Linked DNA regions of Schizosaccharomyces pombe. The gene in region 2 interacts genetically with the main gene of each other region. Each region holds a gene or a part of one and is shown on either strand. Other genes may lie near its edges. The genes, in order: scs22, myo51, cdc8 and rlc1.

Region 1 (4,323 bases), on a different chromosome or scaffold from region 2:
TAAATAAAATGTAATTTTTTCAGTAAACAAATTAAGGAATTAAGTAATAGTTTGGTAACGTCTCATGAGAAGAAAACTCTTGAGCCACTAAATTGTTCTTACCATTTTCCATTATCTTTTTTAAGAAATCGAGGTTCTAATTGAGCTGGTATTGCGGGCAATAGAGCTTCTTGTAATATAGAAATTATAATCGACGGTTTTATTTCATTTGGGCTGAGAAAAAAATTAAATTGCTAGCTTTCATAAGTCGATACACTGAGCAATAGCCATCCTTCCGGCTTTTAAAAAAGGAAGCTCATTAACAAAGTATCCTCTATCTTTGTTTTATTGTTACTACTTTTGAAATTTTTTCCTCTTTCTTTTGGAATATCCATTTCTTTGTAATTTTCATTTTCTTTGTTATAATTAATCAGACGATTTCACGTTTGAAGTTGGTATCTTTATTTGTTGTTACTGTTCATTTCCTTAATTCATGGAGACCTTATCTTATTCTCAGATTAAGAAACGCAAAGCTGATTTTGACGAAGACATTTCTAAGCGTGCTCGTCAACTACCTGTGGGTGAGCAACTGCCATTGTCGAGACTGCTACAATATTCAGACAAACAACAGCTTTTTACAATTTTATTACAATGTGTAGAAAAGCATCCTGATCTCGCACGTGATATACGGGGCATATTACCGGCGCCGTCCATGGATACTTGTGTTGAAACGTTGCGTAAACTTTTAATTAACTTGAATGACTCATTTCCCTATGGTGGTGACAAGAGGGGTGATTACGCATTTAATAGAATTCGTGAAAAGTACATGGCTGTCTTACATGCGCTTAATGATATGGTTCCTTGTTATTTACCTCCATACTCTACTTGTTTTGAGAAAAATATTACTTTTCTTGATGCCGCTACAAACGTTGTCCACGAACTGCCAGAATTCCATAATCCCAACCATAATGTTTATAAAAGTCAAGCGTACTATGAATTAACGGGCGCGTGGCTTGTTGTTTTAAGACAACTTGAGGATCGGCCTGTAGTCCCTTTACTACCTTTGGAAGAGTTGGAAGAGCACAATAAAACATCACAAAACAGAATGGAAGAGGCATTAAATTACCTTAAGCAATTACAAAAAAATGAGCCACTTGTACATGAAAGAAGTCATACTTTTCAACAAACAAATCCACAAAACAATTTTCATCGTCATACTAATAGTATGAACATTGGGAATGACAATGGAATGGGTTGGCACAGTATGCATCAATATATTTAAAAACTAGAACAGAAGGCCTATAAGGAAACATATAATGGCTAATAGGAAAGCGGTTTGCACAGTAACTGTGTTATGAATTTGAGGAACAACCTTGGCACCACTAGTCGGACGCCCAAAAGACGATGAAACGCGTGCAAGTCCTATTTGATTTCCACTGTTTCCAGCGAACATAGATGGACTCGTAGCTGTTGATTGTCTTGTGTTATTAATTACATTAGCGGTAGATCTTAATGCATTATTTTCATTGTTAGGAGAAGTGGTAGTAGGCACTGACTGAGGCTTTGGGTAAGGTTCATTTTCAGCGACTGTTGCAGTAGGAGCTTTTACGGCAGTAGATGGGGCTTCATGGGGCTTCTGGTGAGAAACTGCAGATGTTTTAGGAAGCTGGGTATGCTGTGTAGTAGCTGTAGATGGAGCAGCTACGGGATTTGCATGGGTCGAAGGAAGTGCCGTTCCGTCTATTCCTTTAGAGTAAGATTGATTAACATTACCATTTACTGTGGTATAATTGTCAGTGGCAGAAGTAGGAATAGATGTAGTCGTTGTTTGAGCTGGTTGATGGTGAGCATTAGCATGAGCATTTGCAGTACTGGGGCCTTCACTATAAACACATCGAATTTTTCGTTCCGATATATTAGCCTTGCTGACTTGAGTCCACTATTAAAGTATTGGTTAGAACATCAATTATGTATGGCATGTATTAAAAAAGTAAATGTAAGTATATCTTTTATCACATACAATATCTGCTATATCCATTCCCTGTAATTCTGGCTTCAATTCAGTGCTCTGGACCAAAAATTTATCGCGGCATTTTGTGCCAGGAGCCGGTTCGTGATCTAGAGGCTGTAGGATAACTATTAAAAAAAAAGAAGTTAGTAAATGAAAATTTACAGCAATAACTAATGAGCACAAATTATCTTCCAGTGCACGCACAAAAACAATAAAAACTGTTAGTTTGCAAAAGAAAATCACGTTGATGACAACGTTTTTGTTCCACCCGACAACATCAATGATGGGAACCGCTTAAACGAATAAAATCAAAAAATGCAAATGAGGTTCAAAATTAAATATAAATTATCTTACCTTCAACACTTACAGCCGAATTGGCTTCAATTCGACCACCGTTGGGTCTCACACAGTACTGTTTAGGAGCAGTAGTTTTCACTTTGAATCCGATCGGATAAGGTGCAGTATTGCGAAGTTCTAAATCACATTTTACTAGTCGTGTAAGTGGTCGAGGAAACACAATTGTACTATCACATTCAAGAGCCATGATTTACGGGAAAGGCGAGTTTGTTGCGAGAGGTGGTACTACTTTACTCTGCGAAGTACCATTTCGCAGTGTAGCCAAAAATCGTGGCTTTACGTCACACATACTTGTGTGTGATTTTCCGAGGCTGAGCAAAGATTATGGTAATATATGGATACTGAAATAAAAGGAGATAATTATTCAAGTAACTGTTTTCATCGATATTATACAAAGCCTTATAACGATATTATTAAAATAAATGTGATATTTTGAAAGTAAAAAGTAATATATGCTAAAAAATATTTTGCAGTAGGTGAATAATGTACGAATGCAGTATGGTTATAAAATCCCAATAAGTATATGGATTTATTGTTTGTGAAATTAATAAATGATATAAATACCCAAAAAGGATGATTCAAGTTATCCTTTTTAATTTCTAAATGTCATGTTAATGCGTTTGAATTGTCTTAATTACAACTTAAGAATGCAAGGATGAAGTAAACATTATGATTTCAAAAAAAAATTGCGCATTCGTTTACACTTTCTATTCAAAGGAAATACGTTTTTTGGTTTAGACAATCATTAAATAGATATTGTATACTTTCGTTAATGGTCATTATGCTAGGGAAAAATCAACATTTTTATTTCAAGGAATATCAGCGATGCTTTAGAAAGCATACCATGTATAAAGGAAACGAATTACTCGAGTGGATGCCAACTACAGGATCACGAAAGTCAGTAATCATTTTCAATCATCGGTCTGCGGATGTCGTGCAATATATACAATCATTTATTCTTCTAATTCATAGCGTAATCGGTGGTAACTACAATTATTTTGTTTCATTTGACCTGTCATTTCTATTTCAATGACCAACAAATTTATAATGCTCTCAACTGCGATGTTTGGTAATACGATATTGTAGATATTAGCACGTTAGATGTTGAGTCGATGGAACGTAGGGCTATTTTTGAGCGTCATTGTAATTTGCCTTTTGCAACTACAAACTCTACACAAAAATGGTTTTGAAATGTTTGGAATGCGATAAATTGCTTTCCTCCATCGAAATGGCTGAATTTCATAGTACCAAAACCAGTCATGATCAATTTGAGGAAACTGAAGAAGAGGTATGTATAGATTTTACTCCTTTTACTTTTTGCTGAATGGTTGAAGCGTTCGAATTGTTAACCATCCTTATTATTATAATTCACGAAAACAATAATTTGTTTCACTCGATCCTTTCTTTTTATTAACAACGATTATAAAACATAGATTAAGAAGCGTTCTCCCGAAGAGTTAAAACAAGCTATTGAAGCTTTAAGAGAGAAAGCAAAGGAGAAAAAGGAAAAAGAAAGGATTTTGGCTCTGGAAGAGAAGAAGACAAATTATAAAATCCTTCAAAAATCCAATGATGAAACTGCACAGGCTATGAGAAAGATGCAGGATCAAGCCCGCTTACGTGACTTGCAAAAGATCCGTCAACAAAAGGCTGAAGATGCTGAGCAGCGTAAGAAAATCCTCGCAGAAATTGAACGCGATAAAAAACGACGAGCTGCAGAACGGGAAAATAAGAATTCTTCTGTAAAAGAAACGGCTGCTCCCATCAAGCAGCCTAAAAATGCCAATTCGTCTTCTACTTGTACTCGCACCCCTCCTACATCAGGCAGATTTTCTATCCGACACGATGGTCAAGTTTGTAATATAACTATTGCAGCTGAGGAGACGCTACGCCAATTGGCACAACAGGTCGCTGAGAAAATGAACGTGTCACCGCCAACTAAGTTTACCACTACCTTTCCCCGTGCCTCATACGGC
Region 2 (6,952 bases):
TTCAGAAGCTGTACGATTACAAACTTCTTGTGTAACGTGAAAAATCTCTGCTTTGAATCTCTCCTAGAATACCAGTTAGCCAATACCTATATTAAAATGCATTATTACCTCCTCCATCATATAACTTTGATTACTTTTTATTAATTTTCGTAATAATACGTTACTAAAAGTTAAGATAAGTAGTCTCCTTATAATTAAATGGCTAAAACATGAAATAGGTGGTTTCCAAGTTTCTTCGTAGTTTGAAACATTGTTTTATTAATCTAAACTAAAATATTATTTTCGTGGGGAGCTAACCGTGCTAAATACCAAAGAGTAGGCCAAAACCAATCAGTTGGAAAGTATTTATTAATCTTAATAAAACCTTGTGCCTAAATAAAAATTTTCTCAGAAAAAAGTCCATGGTGCAAACACAATTCTTGGTAAGTTGAAAATTCTGTTGAGGATGCTAAAGCTTTTTTTCAATCAAAAAAAATTTTTTTTAAAATAAGTACCAAAGTTCCGTATGGCAATAAAACATCTTCCTAAGATTTTAATTGCCAGGAAAAACAAAGCAGAAGTTAACCATTGCGACCTTAAAAGAAGAGTTTCTATAAAAATTGTTATGATCCGTAAAAGTCTTTCCAAAATGGGATACTAATCCGAAAGATCTATGGTTTAGGAAATCCAGGATCAGCGTTCGTCAAATCGAGACACTCACTGGGGAAATTAATGGTGAGTATGTACGCTGACAGCATGGCATTTCCAAAAAATTGGCCTAGTACCAAAGAAAATCTCACCTTGGTTTTGTCCACCTCATACATGAATGATTCCGGGAAACAGTTGAAAAAGATATCTAATGATTTTGTGCGCAAAGTTTCGCCATTAGACAAAATCGTATATGTAGTTGTGCATGACGAATTGGAGTTAGATTTAGGCAAAGTCAAGCTTCGTTTGCCCGGAGGCTCTCACAGGTAAGTAATATCCAAAGCAATACTTATTAACATTGCTAGGGGACACAATGGGATTCGCTCTTGTCAAGAATTCCTAGGAAAAGAAGTAAGGTACACATTTAATTTCATTACTAATTCAAAGAGTTTTTACAGGATTGGATTGGGAATTGGACGTTGTGAGTCAAGGAATAGGGAGGACGTTTCAGATTATGTTTTGAGTAAATTCAACTCTAATGAAATGAAACTAATTGAAACTGATATATTCCATAAGTTTTGCAACATTCTTCAACAATTACAACTTTCAATTGAAACATAGGGACTAAGTTAAGCTTAACTCATTGCGGGTTGTTCCTTGTAAAATTGATTGTTGATTATAAGAACTATGAAGCTACATTGTTCATTCCGTTTAAATAAATTATCAAAACCCACAGTCCATCATATTTTCAAGGCAATATTGGATTAAAAGATCAATACCTTTTTTATTGCTATATAAAATTGATAGATAAATAAATCTAAGATACAACAATTCATGAGAACAAACAGAGATTAAAAGACTAATTTAAAAGACCCGCTTAAAGCAATAAAAATTCAAAACCCTAAAATACCAATTTTCTTTGTTTTGCTTTCGAATTAAAGAAATTAGGCGTTGGGAAGTTTGGCGTAGCGATACGCTCTAGCGTGTTTGCTCGTAAATATTTATTTGTGTACATAGCACATCGAAACTCAAGTTACCCGATTTATAACTTTATTCCTTCTTTTGATATAGTTTTCCTTTTATACCACAGAAGATATTTTATTTTCAAAAGAAAGTAATTAAAAATTGCTATGAGTCATGCAAGATTATCGGTAGGCTCGTAAGTAAATTCTCAAAAAGTAAACACCCTTCTATTAACAATCGTTACAAATTAGGGAATGTTGGGTTTCCAATAATAACGGTCATTGGGATGCTGCTCGATTAATCGAAATAAAAGATAATGGAGGAGGTAAAGTCGTAGCAACTGTTGCAAAGAGCAGCGGTGTTTTAGAAACAGTGAATTACCAACAGTTACAAAATCGAAACATCGGTCAATCAGAGTCGCCTTCTGATTTAACGAATCTTCCTTATTTAAATGAGCCATCTGTCCTTCATGCCTTACATAATCGTTACAATAACAAGCAAATTTACACATATTCGGGAATCGTGCTTGTCTCAATAAACCCTTACCAAAATCTTCCCGAGTTTTACAACGACAATCTGATAAAACATTTCCATAAAGATCCCGAAGCAGCCAAAGTTCCTCACCTATACTCTATAGCAAGTTCTTGTTACCATGCTTTAACTACAGATTCCAAGAATCAGACTATTATTGTGTCTGGAGAATCAGGTGCAGGCAAAACAGTTGCTGCTAAGTATATTATGCGTTACTTGACCTCGGTACAGGGAGTAGATCATAATGGTGTTGTTAAACGCTCTGTTGAGAATCAAGTTCTCGCTACTAATCCTATTATGGAAGCATTTGGTAACGCAAAAACTATCAGAAATGATAACTCTTCACGTTTTGGTAAATATGTTACCATAAGCTTTGATGAAAACTTGTTGATTACCGGAGCAAATGTAAACACATATTTACTTGAAAGATCCCGAGTAGTCTCTTTACTTAAAGGGGAAAGAAATTATCACATTTTTTATCAGCTAATTACTGGATGTACAGAGGAACAAAGGGATAAATGGTTTCTTGAGTCTGCGTCTTCTTTTAATTATTTATCACAAGGAAATTGTGATGAAATATCTGGCGTTGACGACAGTAATGACTTTACTATAACTTGCAGAGCTCTTTCAACTATTGGTATTTCAGAGTCAAGGCAGGAGGATGTATTTTGTCTACTTGCTGCCTTACTCCACCTTGGTAACATTGAAGTCTGTGCAACAAGAAATGAAGCACAAATACAGCCCGGTGATGGGTATCTTCAGAAAGCTGCTTTATTACTTGGTGTCGATTCATCTACGCTTGCTAAATGGATTGTTAAAAGACAACTGAAAACTAGATCCGAAACCATTATTACCTCATCAACTTTGGAACATGCTATTAGCATAAGAGACTCTGTCGCTAAATATTTATATTCCGCACTGTTTTTGTGGATTGTTCACATGATTAATGCATCACTTGACCATAACAAAGTTAAAAGAGCTGCCTACAAATATATTGGTGTTGTTGATATTTATGGCTTCGAACATTTCGAAAAAAATTCGATGGAGCAATTCTGTATTAATTATGCTAATGAAAAACTTCAACAAGAATTTAATAAGCACGTTTTTAAACTAGAACAGGAAGAATATGTTAAAGAAGGATTAGACTGGCGACTTATAGAATATTCTGACAATCAAGGTTGCATATCCTTAATCGAAGACAAATTAGGGATACTCTCGTTGTTGGATGAGGAATGTCGCTTACCTTCAGGGAACCACCAATCGTTTTTACAAAAATTAAATAATCAACTTCCTACAAAACACTCTCAGTTCTATAAAAAATCTAGATTTAATGATGGTTCATTTATGGTTAAACATTATGCTTTGGACGTTAGTTATCAAGTACACGATTTTTTAGCAAAAAATTCGGATGCCATACCTGATGAGTTTATAAGTTTACTACAAAACTCAAAAAATGAGTTTATAACTTATCTGCTAGACTTTTATATGCAGTTGGTTTCTTCTCAAAATAAAAATCCTAGAAAGACTGCTATAAGCAGGAAACCTACACTTTCATCAATGTTTAAATCTTCTTTGTCTCAATTAATGACAACTGTTTCCTCTACTAATGTTCATTACATTCGATGCATTAAGCCTAATGAAGAAAAGCTTCCTTGGACGTTCTCCCCGCCGATGGTGCTCTCACAACTCAGGGCCTGCGGTGTTTTTGAAACAATTAGGATATCCTCGTTAGGGTTTCCTGCTCGATTTTCGTATGAGGAATTTGCTCATCGATTCCGCATTTTGTTGTCTTCTAAAGAATGGGAGGAAGATAATAAAAAGTTGACTCTTAATATTGTTAACTCTGTAATTCCTCATGATAACCTAAACTTTCAAGTTGGTCGCTCCAAAATATTTTTCAGATCAAACGTTATTGGAAATTTTGAAGAAGCCCATCGAGCTACATGTAGCAAATCGACAGTTTTATTACAGTCTGCTATAAGAGGCTTCTTTACTCGGAAGGAGTATCAAAGAACTGTAAAATTTATCATTAAACTACAATCGGTTATTATGGGCTGGTTAACTCGTCAACGTTTTGAGCGAGAAAAAATTGAACGAGCAGCCATTCTTATTCAAGCTCATTGGCGATCTTATATCCAACGCAAAAGATATTTGTCCCTTATCAAATGTGCTATTGTTATTCAATCAATAGTTCGGAAGAATATCGCATATTCTCGTTATATAAATGAGTTAAGGGAAAGTTCTGCTACACTTCTTGCAAAATTTTGGCGAGCGTACAACGCAAGAAAAACTTTTAGAGGTTTGAAGAAGTCAGTTATTGCTCTGCAATGTGTGTCGCGCTCTGTATTAACCAGAAGATATCTTCGCAGATTACAAGATTCGGCGGGCAGGACTAGCATTCTTTATGAGAAGCAAAAGAACCTGCAGGCTTCTATAACCGAAGTATCCAAACAGTTGAAATCAAATAGCAAAAAAGTAACAGTTTTAAGGAATAAGCTTAATATTTTAAATAACTCACTATCGAAATGGAAGTGTTTAATTAAGAAGCCCAGTGACTTTTCTGAACCCGTTAGTATGGATTTTACTAGCAACGATGAACAGCTTGTGCAACTTTTGCAAGCCGAATCAAAGCTTCGGCAAGCATCTCAGCAACTTTATATGGCAGCCAAAAAATCGGAGTTGGGATTTGTTCAATCTCAAACTGCCCGAGAGAACTTGTCGAATTATTACCAAGCTTTACAGATGACAGTTTCTGAAAAATTTGAATATGATACTGAACAACTACCTTCCCGTGTTCTTTTTTACGCAATGGATAGATACTTCTCCATCCACAAAAAACTCAAACAGCTTCTTGAATTAGTTGGTGTTGAAAATGCATCTCTCTTACCTAATGAAGTTGTTAATAAACAAACTAAAGATTTATTGTATGAGAAAAGGGTTGTTTTTTTAAAGCAAATTAAGCAAGCTCTCACGGTTTCTTCTTTGTTTAATGCAGTTGGTTACAAAGATGGTGTTATGAGGTTGTTAGAAACGGATCAGAACTCACTACTTTTTGCTGGGGTAGTAAACTTTCTAATTTTTGCAGGTATTAGCCTTGATTTGAAGACACAAATCAGTGAGTTTTTGAGCCAATTGTGTTCCTATTTCACTAAAATCGTTGACGGTACAGTTATTGAAAATGATAAAACTCTAGATTTCTATGAAAAACCTCTACAAGCGGTTTTGTATTGGTTCGCAACGTTACACAAAATTCGTTCATTTTTAGTGCATCTTTTATCTATTAATTCACATGGAAAGCAAAGTGTGGTAGAGGATTTATGGAATCCGTTGATTTTGAAATTCTCAAAACATTTTTCTAATCTGGAAAATTCATTTCATTCCTTGGTCCAGAAACTATTAAGTTGTTGTACCGAGGGATCGATTAATGCTCTTTTAAATTCAAAATGTTTACCAGAGTTTATCGATGCGGCTGATGAGAACACAACACCTACTGGAATGAATATTTATGAGTTGATAGACAGAATGAATTTAATACACAAATTATTAATATCTTCTGCCTTGCAACCAAATTTATTGGAATTGACTATATCTCACATGCTTCAACATATAGGACAACGTGCCTTTCAAACATTAATTCATGGGTAAGGCAGCTATCAAAAAAACTATCACTAACATTCTAGCCGGTCACCGTACACTTGGAAATCTGCTTCTCAGGTTTCCTATAATGCCTCGCTGTTGATTAACTGGTGTCATCAAAAGGGTATTAGTTATGTTAACTCGTCACTATTGCCTTTAATGCAGTCTCCTTTGGTATTTTGCCTTCGTAAAAACGATGCAAACGATTTGGATGTTATTCTCTCTGTTTGTAATTTACTTTCGCCATTTGAAGTTGTATGCCTCCTAAATAGGTATCAGCCATGCGCTGGTGAAAATCCTCTACCAAAATCCTTTTCAAAAGCCGTAGAGGCATTATCTTGTAAGTATAAGCAATCTGGTTTTACAAATGGTAAAATCACAAACACTAATGGGCACGCTATTCCTATAGCTGCTTCTAAAAACCCTTTATTATCACTTGAAAATAATCATATATACGAAGAGCTTCGACTTTCAGAGTTGATAAACTTATTGGCTAAAGCTACATTATAAGCTTTTTATCAAGTATCATTAAACGTTACACCCGATCAATATTTTTAATTTATATTAGTACTCATTAATACTATATTCTTATCATTCTCTGTTAATTCAAAGCATCATATAGTAACTTCAGGAAAGCAATAAATTTAGTATTTTGGATATTTGATAAAATCGTTTGATCGATTCCGAAAATGGATGAGTAGTATAGTCGGGTGGGTTTATATTTAACTTTGGCCCTATAATGTCTTCGTTCAATCTTTTAAATAAACAAATGAAAGATTTGCATAATCCGAATTCATTGTAGTCCTCAAAAAGGTTTAACATTTTATTTTCTGAAGATTCTTTAAAAAACTTTTCACAAATTCTGAAATGATAACTCAATTGTTCTAATTCGTTCCGCTCAATGAATCCAAAAGCTGGAGAACTTTCAAGCACCCTTGCTAGTATCACCTTAATACTTGGTAAACAGGAAGTTAAGTAAGACGTTGGAGCACGCTCTGATTCAACTTCTTTAGCACAAGCAAGCGTTTGATGAAATAACCAAGAAGAAAATCGGTAATAGAAACTTCTCAGACGATCGTTACAGTTGAAATAACGACAGTGTAAAAGATTTGAAAAGGCAGATGATATGTAGTAAAGATTTTTTTTTTCATATCCTACATTTCTGATGTTCGACTGTAATAATGAATTCTCCAAA
Region 3 (3,547 bases), on a different chromosome or scaffold from region 2:
CTTTCTACAAATCAAGAGCTTTGCGATCAAATAGAAATAAACAAAAAAAAACTTGAGTTCAGAAAAGAACAACTTTTAAAGCAATTATCTAATGCTCAAGAAAAACTCGAGCATGAACAACATTCTCGAAATCAAAAACTTGAGGCTGCCAAACAACGAATGGACAACATACGGGAAGAATACAAAGTAATTACCCAAGAAAGGAATAAAAAGATTCAGGAGACTGAAAAGAAAAATGCCATGATAGAGATGACCGAACAAAAAATTGCTGGAATGCGAGAAGAACTGGAGTCTCAAATATCCTCTATAACTATGGAATTCGAAAAATTGAAATCGCACGTGGAGCTTTATATTGCTGAACTTCTCAGAAACTTAAGGTCTTCTAACTCTTAGTATCTTCATTTTGAAAAATCTTTATTCGTGCAAATATTTCAACACTACCTATAAGAACGTTGGTTGGACTTCGAAGCCAGAATTTTAGATTTTACAGTAAATGTATATAGGTAAATCTTGGTAATTATTAATATTTTATGACTCTATTTATAATATACCTATGGAACAATCCCTATTTTTACAGTCATCTTCATAGCTGAACGTGACAGGATATTGAAGTATAGGATACTGATTATAGTAAAGCTTTTTTGTAGATTCCCAAAATTGGCAATCTAAAGATATTCGATTAACTTTGTCAAACTTTGGTGTTTTGCCTCTTTGCTGACTTCTGAGACCTCTGCCACGCCTTCCAAACCTGATCAAAAAAGCCTCAATTAGAGCCATTTATCATTCGAGAAAAATTACAATGTGGAGGCCTTTAGAAAATACACCAGAGGTGCTGGAACCTTACTTACAAAAAATCGGTGTACAAGATGCTAGCGTTTTTGACCTGTTTTCATTAGAGGAAATCCCCGAATATATCCCTCGTCCTGTCCATGCTCTTTTATTCGTTTTTCCATCCTCAGGAACAAAAACTATATATAAAGGATCACGAATTTTACCAAAGGATAGTGACAAAGTCTTGTGGTACCCTCAAACAATTCCAAATGCTTGCGGAACGATTGGATTGCTACATGCGGTTTCGAATGGAGAACTTAGAAGAAAAGTCAATGAAAATGATTTTATTAAAAGTCTAATCAGAACTGCTGAAGGTTCATCTATCGAAGAAAGGGCTAAGCTTATCGAGGATTCGAAAGAACTTGAAGCTTTACATGCAGCATTTGCTGGTCCACCTTTGGAAGTAGAGGGGTCTGAGGAAGATGTAGAAACTGATCTTCATTTTATCTGTTTTGTAAAGGGAAAATCAAAGGACGACAATCATTTTTATGAGCTAGACGGCCGCCAAGAGGGGCCCGTGCAACATTCTGAAATTGAAAGTGATTTACTGAATGCCGAAGTACTTTCAGTTATTAAAAATTATATTCAGAGTATTGATTCTCCTTTCTTTTCTCTTGTCGCAATTACGACTCCGTAACCTATGTAAGCTAAATGTTGTGAAACTTAATGAAATGATTACTTTGGCAATTGGAAGTATGATAATAGCCATTTAAAATATTGCTTCTTAAATACCTGTTTCCAACTAATTCCTAGTCTGTATGTGTGTAAATATGAAATTAACAAGCGGACCTCTTTATAATTGTATAACTAAATGATTAAATATTATTGATATATGCCATTTTTCTTTAGCAGTAGAGAGCTCTTAAAATTTCAGTCATAAATACAAAAATCAGGCATTGTTTAAATCACTTCATTCCAAACTTGAAAATCTATTGCAGGAACACTTCGATTATAATTTACAAATGTTTGACTACTGTTTTTAACTTTGCTCTTTTAACGCTTATTTCTTTGATGAAATTAACAATCTGGTGTGTTGTAAGCAAAGCCTCAACTTCTTTGTTCTTTGATGAACAAAGCGCTTTACTGTAGAGCTTGTGTGTATTTCTTTGTAATAAATTAGTAAATAGAACTTTCTTGTACCGTCAATTAATTCACCACCCTTACCGTGGTATATGCATGTCAAACACACCCATCGGTATCTTCCCTCCACCATCAAGGAAAGAAGGAAACAGTAGGAAAATGGATAAGCTTAGAGAGGTATGAGATGATAGCTTTTCATTGGAAAATCAAGTTGCTAATATTTGCTTTTTATTTAGAAAATTAATGCCGCTCGTGCTGAGACTGATGAGGCTGTCGCTCGTGCTGAAGCAGCTGAAGCCAAGTTGAAAGAAGTTGAACTTCAACTTTCTCTTAAAGAGCAAGAATATGAGTCTCTTTCGAGGAAAAGCGAAGCCGCCGAGTCTCAACTCGAAGAGTTAGAAGAAGAAACTAAGCAGTTACGTCTCAAAGCCGACAATGAAGATATTCAAAAGACGGAAGCCGAGCAGTTGAGCCGTAAAGTTGAGCTTTTAGAGGAAGAACTAGAAACTAATGACAAGCTACTTCGCGAAACCACCGAAAAGATGCGTCAAACTGATGTTAAGGCTGAGCATTTTGAACGTCGCGTCCAATCTCTAGAGCGTGAGCGTGATGATATGGAACAGAAACTAGAAGAAATGACTGACAAGTATACTAAGGTCAAGGCTGAATTAGATGAAGTTCACCAAGCTCTTGAGGATTTGTAGATAGCGAAAAGCTTGACGAACATAGAAGAAACATACCACCTTTTTTATATCTTCTATTTGCTGTCATTCTTTTTCTTTCTTACTTTGTCAACTAGCTAAGTTCGACCTCACTTTTTATGGTTTATATTTAGCGAAAAATGATTTGATTTTGGTATGGAACACTGTTTTCTTTCTTTAGTCAACTTACTGGTGTTACCTTTTTACGAGAATCAGTATTTATGATATCAAATGTCTGAGTATTGTAAATTGAGAAGAAATGTGCCCTTATCTTCCCGATTCCCACCACTTTCCCTTCTAACTTAAATAACATTTTGTAAGCATAACTGTCTTAATGTTATCTGAATGATAAGCTTTTATTTTTTTTCGAATGCCAACTCTTTAATAAAGACTTCTATATGATAAATACCGTCTTTATCTTTCCTTTTTTTTACGATGTAAATATTGAAGTTTGCTAGGCTGAAATCGGTATTTTGTAAGTTGTTTATACACGTCTACCTTAAAGTAATTCGTGCAAACGAGTGGTCGTGCTTTTGTTAGGGGATCATTATAGTTAGGTTTGTCTTACTTTATTGTATGAATGACATTCATCTTCAGCGCGGGTTTTTTAAAATCAATCTATTTTGCAGAATCACAATACCTGTTAAACTCACATTTTCTATGAATTTACCTATTTGTTAAATTGCCTTTTATTTTATTTTATTATTTTTTTTTTGGAAATCCGATATCCGTACACGTTGAAGAGCATTGTTAGGCATCGTAAGCATAATCAAAGTTGAATCAACTAAAAACATAAGATGTTAACGTAAATAAAAAGAATATCTTAATGTATTGACATGTATTGCCATTTACATGTTCTACTTGATATAAATTTACATAAACCTTTATCGGAATAACGAGGTACAGGGTTTGCGTTAATGTGCTACTTTGGTTAA
Region 4 (3,794 bases), on a different chromosome or scaffold from region 2:
GACGATTATACTTTATAGAAGCAGACAAAGAGGCATCGACATTAGTTACCGAAATTGCTTCTTTAGCATGCAGTTGCAAGTTACTTGAAGAATCAGATTTTGAGAAACTCTGTCAGATAATGCTACCGATTACGGAAAAACTCGATATATTAAAGCTAATGGACTGGTACTTGGCGAAAACCAAACGTTTAGTACTTGGTGGTAAAGAAAATGAGGTGGCATGGATTGATTTACTGCAAGTTTTTGACCATCAACTTAGCCAATTACCACAGCTAAACTTGCAAAACCCGTTGGATCCGAACTCGTCTGTTAAACCTTTGCATATTCAATTGCTGTGCGACAAAGCCGATGCATACATAGACTTTGCAGAGACGCTACTAGATTCCTGCGTATCTACAGAAGAAAGCGCATCTATTGAAATAATGACTAGAGCCTGGAATATGTTAGGAGTAGCTGCCAAAAGTTTAAAGATGGCTAACACTTACAATCCTAATCATGTAAGAATACTCATTTCTAGAGCTGACTTAGAGATTCAACGTGCAGCTATCCCCATCATGGTAGCTCAAAACTCCAAACTTGTGTTGTATAAAAATGCCAAAGTATTATACGAAAAAGCATTCCGTGATTATTCAACCAAAAAGACAACAAGAACGTTTGCGGAGATTGTCTTAAAGCATTATCAACTACAGAAATTGACCAACCCAGAAACGATTAAGATGCTGGACTCCTTAACTGAGGTTGCTCAAGAAGACATTCTCAATACCATTTAAAGAAACAGACGTTTCTTACTTAATTTGGCAGGCTAATTAGTGAATCCAATTATAAATATAAAGTTTTACTTTGTTTCATTACTTGTATCATCAAATTCATGTTTCGCTAGCCGAATTTTTGCATCGTATTGTTTCATACGCTCCAAATGATCTTGCTTCAGAGCATTCAGATGAAATGCTTCGCTACCGATGATGAGCCATAATAGCCCGAACGTATACGTTGATGACCAACGTAACATGGAAAAAATTGACTTTTAACTAAAAAAAACTGTTTCTAATATCTTTGGTGTGCAAGTTCAGACTCAGTATTTGGAGTAGCTGCTGTAATTAATCGATATAATATAAATCACAAATGATTGAGCCTTTTAAAGGCGTTGAACACTTAAGAATCAAAACTCCAAAATACCGAAAGACAAAGAGAAAAAGAAAATCAATATTTTTCGCTCGAAATAAGGATTACCATTAAGACAAGTTTTGACTGTACGGAACTGTGTAGGATAACGGTAAATCAATTTTCTGCAATGCTTTGATATTTATTGACTTTCATTAAATCTCTGTAAATCAGAATTTCTATTGTCTATCTAGTTTTGTCCATTAAATCAGAAATTATTCAGTTTCTATTATTGTTACTTTTTATTTATAATAAGGATTTGTTTAATTCAACCGAATAATGCTAGTTGGTTCTTAAAGTCATACTCCTTATTTCCTTCATTCCCAGCCTACTCAGTCTTTGCCCGCAAAAAGATATTTCAAGGCCTATTTGATTTAACTCATTTATTCAAATTTCACTTTTTGTTAACTGAGTTTTACTTTTGTTCAACCTTGACAGCTCAGCGAAATTAGTGTAAATAAATAAAATCAAAAGAAGCGCTAATTCAAGAGGCCTTTTTGATTCTACTTTTTACTGTGTATACAACTTATAAATGACATTATATCCTTGACAAATTTGCTTACGTTTGTTTCAACTTTTATTAACCCCTCGAAATTAAATTATTATTATGCTCATGGCATTGTTGATCAAACATTGAGATTTGATTAAGCATATAAAATAATAATCATAAGAAATAAAACACTATGATAAATATAATTCTTCTAAATGTATACTAAAAAAAAAAATCCTTGAGAGTTCGCCTTTTCTCTAATTTTAACGGCACCAAACGTGGGTCATTAAAGACTAACATCTCCTTTGTTCTCAGTATTCCATGCCTATGTTAAATTCTGAGACTTACCAAGAGCTTGAATATCAACAATCATAGGTTACTTCCTATATGTCTATTTATAGATTTTTTTACAACTAATTGTCAGATACATTTACTTAGAGAATTCTTAGCTTTCCCTTTTGAATATTTCAAGTCTTAGCATTTAGTGACTGATTTAGACTCCTTTTTTATGACTTGCTGATATCCTCGCCTTACGGTGTATAAAATTCATATTTACCGCTATTGCAGTAAGGGCAGCAGTTTTTTTCATTTCTTAATTCTTCCGTACTTTACTTTACAGCATAACTATATCTTATTTGATCATTTGCTCTGTTAACGATGTTCTCTTCGAAGGAAAATTCCTTAGGTGCTAAACGTGCCCCATTTTCATCAAATACAACATCTTCTCAAAGAGTTGCTGCCCAAGCCGCTAAACGAGCATCTTCTGGTGCATTTGCGCAACTTACTTCTTCCCAAATTCAAGAACTTAAAGAGGCTTTTGCCCTATTAGACAAAGATGGTGACGGTAATATTGGAAGAGAGGATGTCAAAACCATGCTTACTTCTTTGAATCAGGATGCCTCCGAAGATTCAATCAATCACATGTTTGAGTCAATAAATCCGCCTATTAATTTAGCCGCTTTTCTCACTGCGATGGGTAGTATGCTGTGTCGAATCTCCCCCAGAAATGATCTACTAGAAGCGTTCTCTACATTCGATGATACTCAATCCGGCAAAATTCCAATTTCCACTATGAGAGATGCTTTGTCAAGTATGGGTGATAGAATGGATCCTCAAGAAGTCGAGTCTATTTTACGCTCGTACACCAGTCATGGTGTATTCTATTACGAGAAATTCGTTGATGCTATTGCTGGGTCAAAAGATAGCAATTGAGTTAAGAGCAGCCAGATATGTTTCACATTCTTCCCTCTAATACTTTATCTTTTTAACCTGAGCCATTTCCCTTAGACGAATTTTCCTCTTCTCTTTTAACTTTTTATGAAAGCATTTGATACATTTATGTTCGTTGTGACCTATACTTTATGTGTCTCAATACTTAGCTACTCTCTGCGACTTTACTATTATTTGCAGTGTTTAGTGAGTTAGAGCTTAGGCTTAATGTCATTAACCATATTTTCATTCGAGGGTTCAATTAATGTATGAATAAATCTATATTAGCCCAGCATACCTATGTTCCTCATCAAAATTATCCTACCTTGTAAAACAGCTCTCACATGACTAGAAAAAAATAACTTTTAAGCACCAACTTGTACTTGTTAGTAGTATAAACTACATTATTCGAAAACAAAATTTGATGTACTAATAAGTATCCATAAACTTTAATATTACTAATCAACATTCCATATTATAACAACTTCCAAACAACCTGTAATCTAGTGTGTATTAAGAAAAATCGTGTAGAAAGAAATTTTTGAATGACAACAGACACTAGAATCGTTAACAATGTATAGGATAACTTGCTTTAATCCAAGAAAAACATTATATGCATAAATTTTGGAAAGACACATTAGATGCATTTGATTTAATCGACTTCCTCCATCTTGCTCTCAGCATTGTTTTCAGCAGCGACGGATTCGGTAGAAATTTCCTCAATAGGAGCCTCCTCCTCTTCGTCAATGCTAAGACCAAGAGAAATAAGACGGTTGATACGTTGAGCATAAGCACTAGGGTCATCAAGAGTGAAACCAGAGGACAACAAGGCGGTCTCATACAAAATAGTAGCAAGATCCTTCACAGAGCGGTCTTCGGCACCATTCTCCTCAACCTTCTTCTTGAGCTCAGCAATGATGGGAGACTTGGGGTT

Evidence for each region.
Region 1: of myo51 (region 2) and scs22, changing one enhances a phenotype caused by changing the other (phenotypic enhancement), as found in Schizosaccharomyces pombe (one study listed by BioGRID).
Region 3: of myo51 (region 2) and cdc8, changing one enhances a phenotype caused by changing the other (phenotypic enhancement), as found in Schizosaccharomyces pombe (one study listed by BioGRID).
Region 4: mutations in myo51 (region 2) and rlc1 impair growth when combined (synthetic growth defect), as found in Schizosaccharomyces pombe (one study listed by BioGRID).

Annotation. Positions count from the first base shown.
Region 1 is NC_003424.3:4,477,378-4,481,700, forward strand, and holds scs22 (VAMP/synaptobrevin-associated protein family protein), read right to left. Parts: upstream 2,575-4,323; 5' UTR 2,535-2,574; coding exon 2,345-2,534; exon of another isoform or gene 2,173-2,344; intron 2,116-2,172; coding exon 2,000-2,115; intron 1,919-1,999; coding exon 1,265-1,918; 3' UTR 1,262-1,264; downstream 1-1,261. Other genes in the region: nuclear proteasome tethering factor Cut8, read left to right, coding at 473-1,261; SPOM_SPAC17C9.11C (zf-C2H2 type zinc finger protein/UBA domain protein), read left to right, coding at 3,528-3,635, 3,781-4,323. UniProt on the Schizosaccharomyces pombe protein: Vesicle-associated membrane protein-associated protein (VAP) implicated in maintaining the cortical endoplasmic reticulum (ER)-plasma membrane (PM) attachment.
Region 2 is NC_003423.3:2,989,620-2,996,571, reverse strand, and holds myo51 (myosin type V), read left to right. Parts: upstream 1-1,657; 5' UTR 1,658-1,757; coding exon 1,758-1,786; intron 1,787-1,841; coding exon 1,842-5,762; exon of another isoform or gene 5,763-5,801; coding exon 5,802-6,267; 3' UTR 6,268-6,384; downstream 6,385-6,952. Other genes in the region: protein mhf1, read right to left, coding at 1-63, 109-120; peptidyl-tRNA hydrolase Pth1, read left to right, coding at 506-601, 649-953, 993-1,038, 1,075-1,248; telomerase regulator Est1, read right to left, coding at 6,385-6,952. UniProt on the Schizosaccharomyces pombe protein: Involved in cytokinesis.
Region 3 is NC_003424.3:4,318,728-4,322,274, reverse strand, and holds cdc8 (tropomyosin), read left to right. Parts: upstream 1-2,039; 5' UTR 2,040-2,070; coding exon 2,071-2,088; exon of another isoform or gene 2,089-2,102; intron 2,103-2,147; coding exon 2,148-2,615; 3' UTR 2,616-3,028; downstream 3,029-3,547. Other genes in the region: protein Nuf2, read left to right, coding at 1-393; ubiquitin hydrolase Uch1, read left to right, coding at 800-1,468. UniProt on the Schizosaccharomyces pombe protein: Forms part of the F-actin contractile ring during cytokinesis.
Region 4 is NC_003424.3:3,885,262-3,889,055, forward strand, and holds rlc1 (myosin II regulatory light chain Rlc1), read left to right. Parts: upstream 1-2,000; 5' UTR 2,001-2,308; coding exon 2,309-2,863; 3' UTR 2,864-3,236; downstream 3,237-3,794. Other genes in the region: SPOM_SPAC926.02 (uncharacterized protein), read left to right, coding at 1-770; protein Ina22, read right to left, coding at 836-1,009; Hsp90 chaperone, read right to left, coding at 3,513-3,794.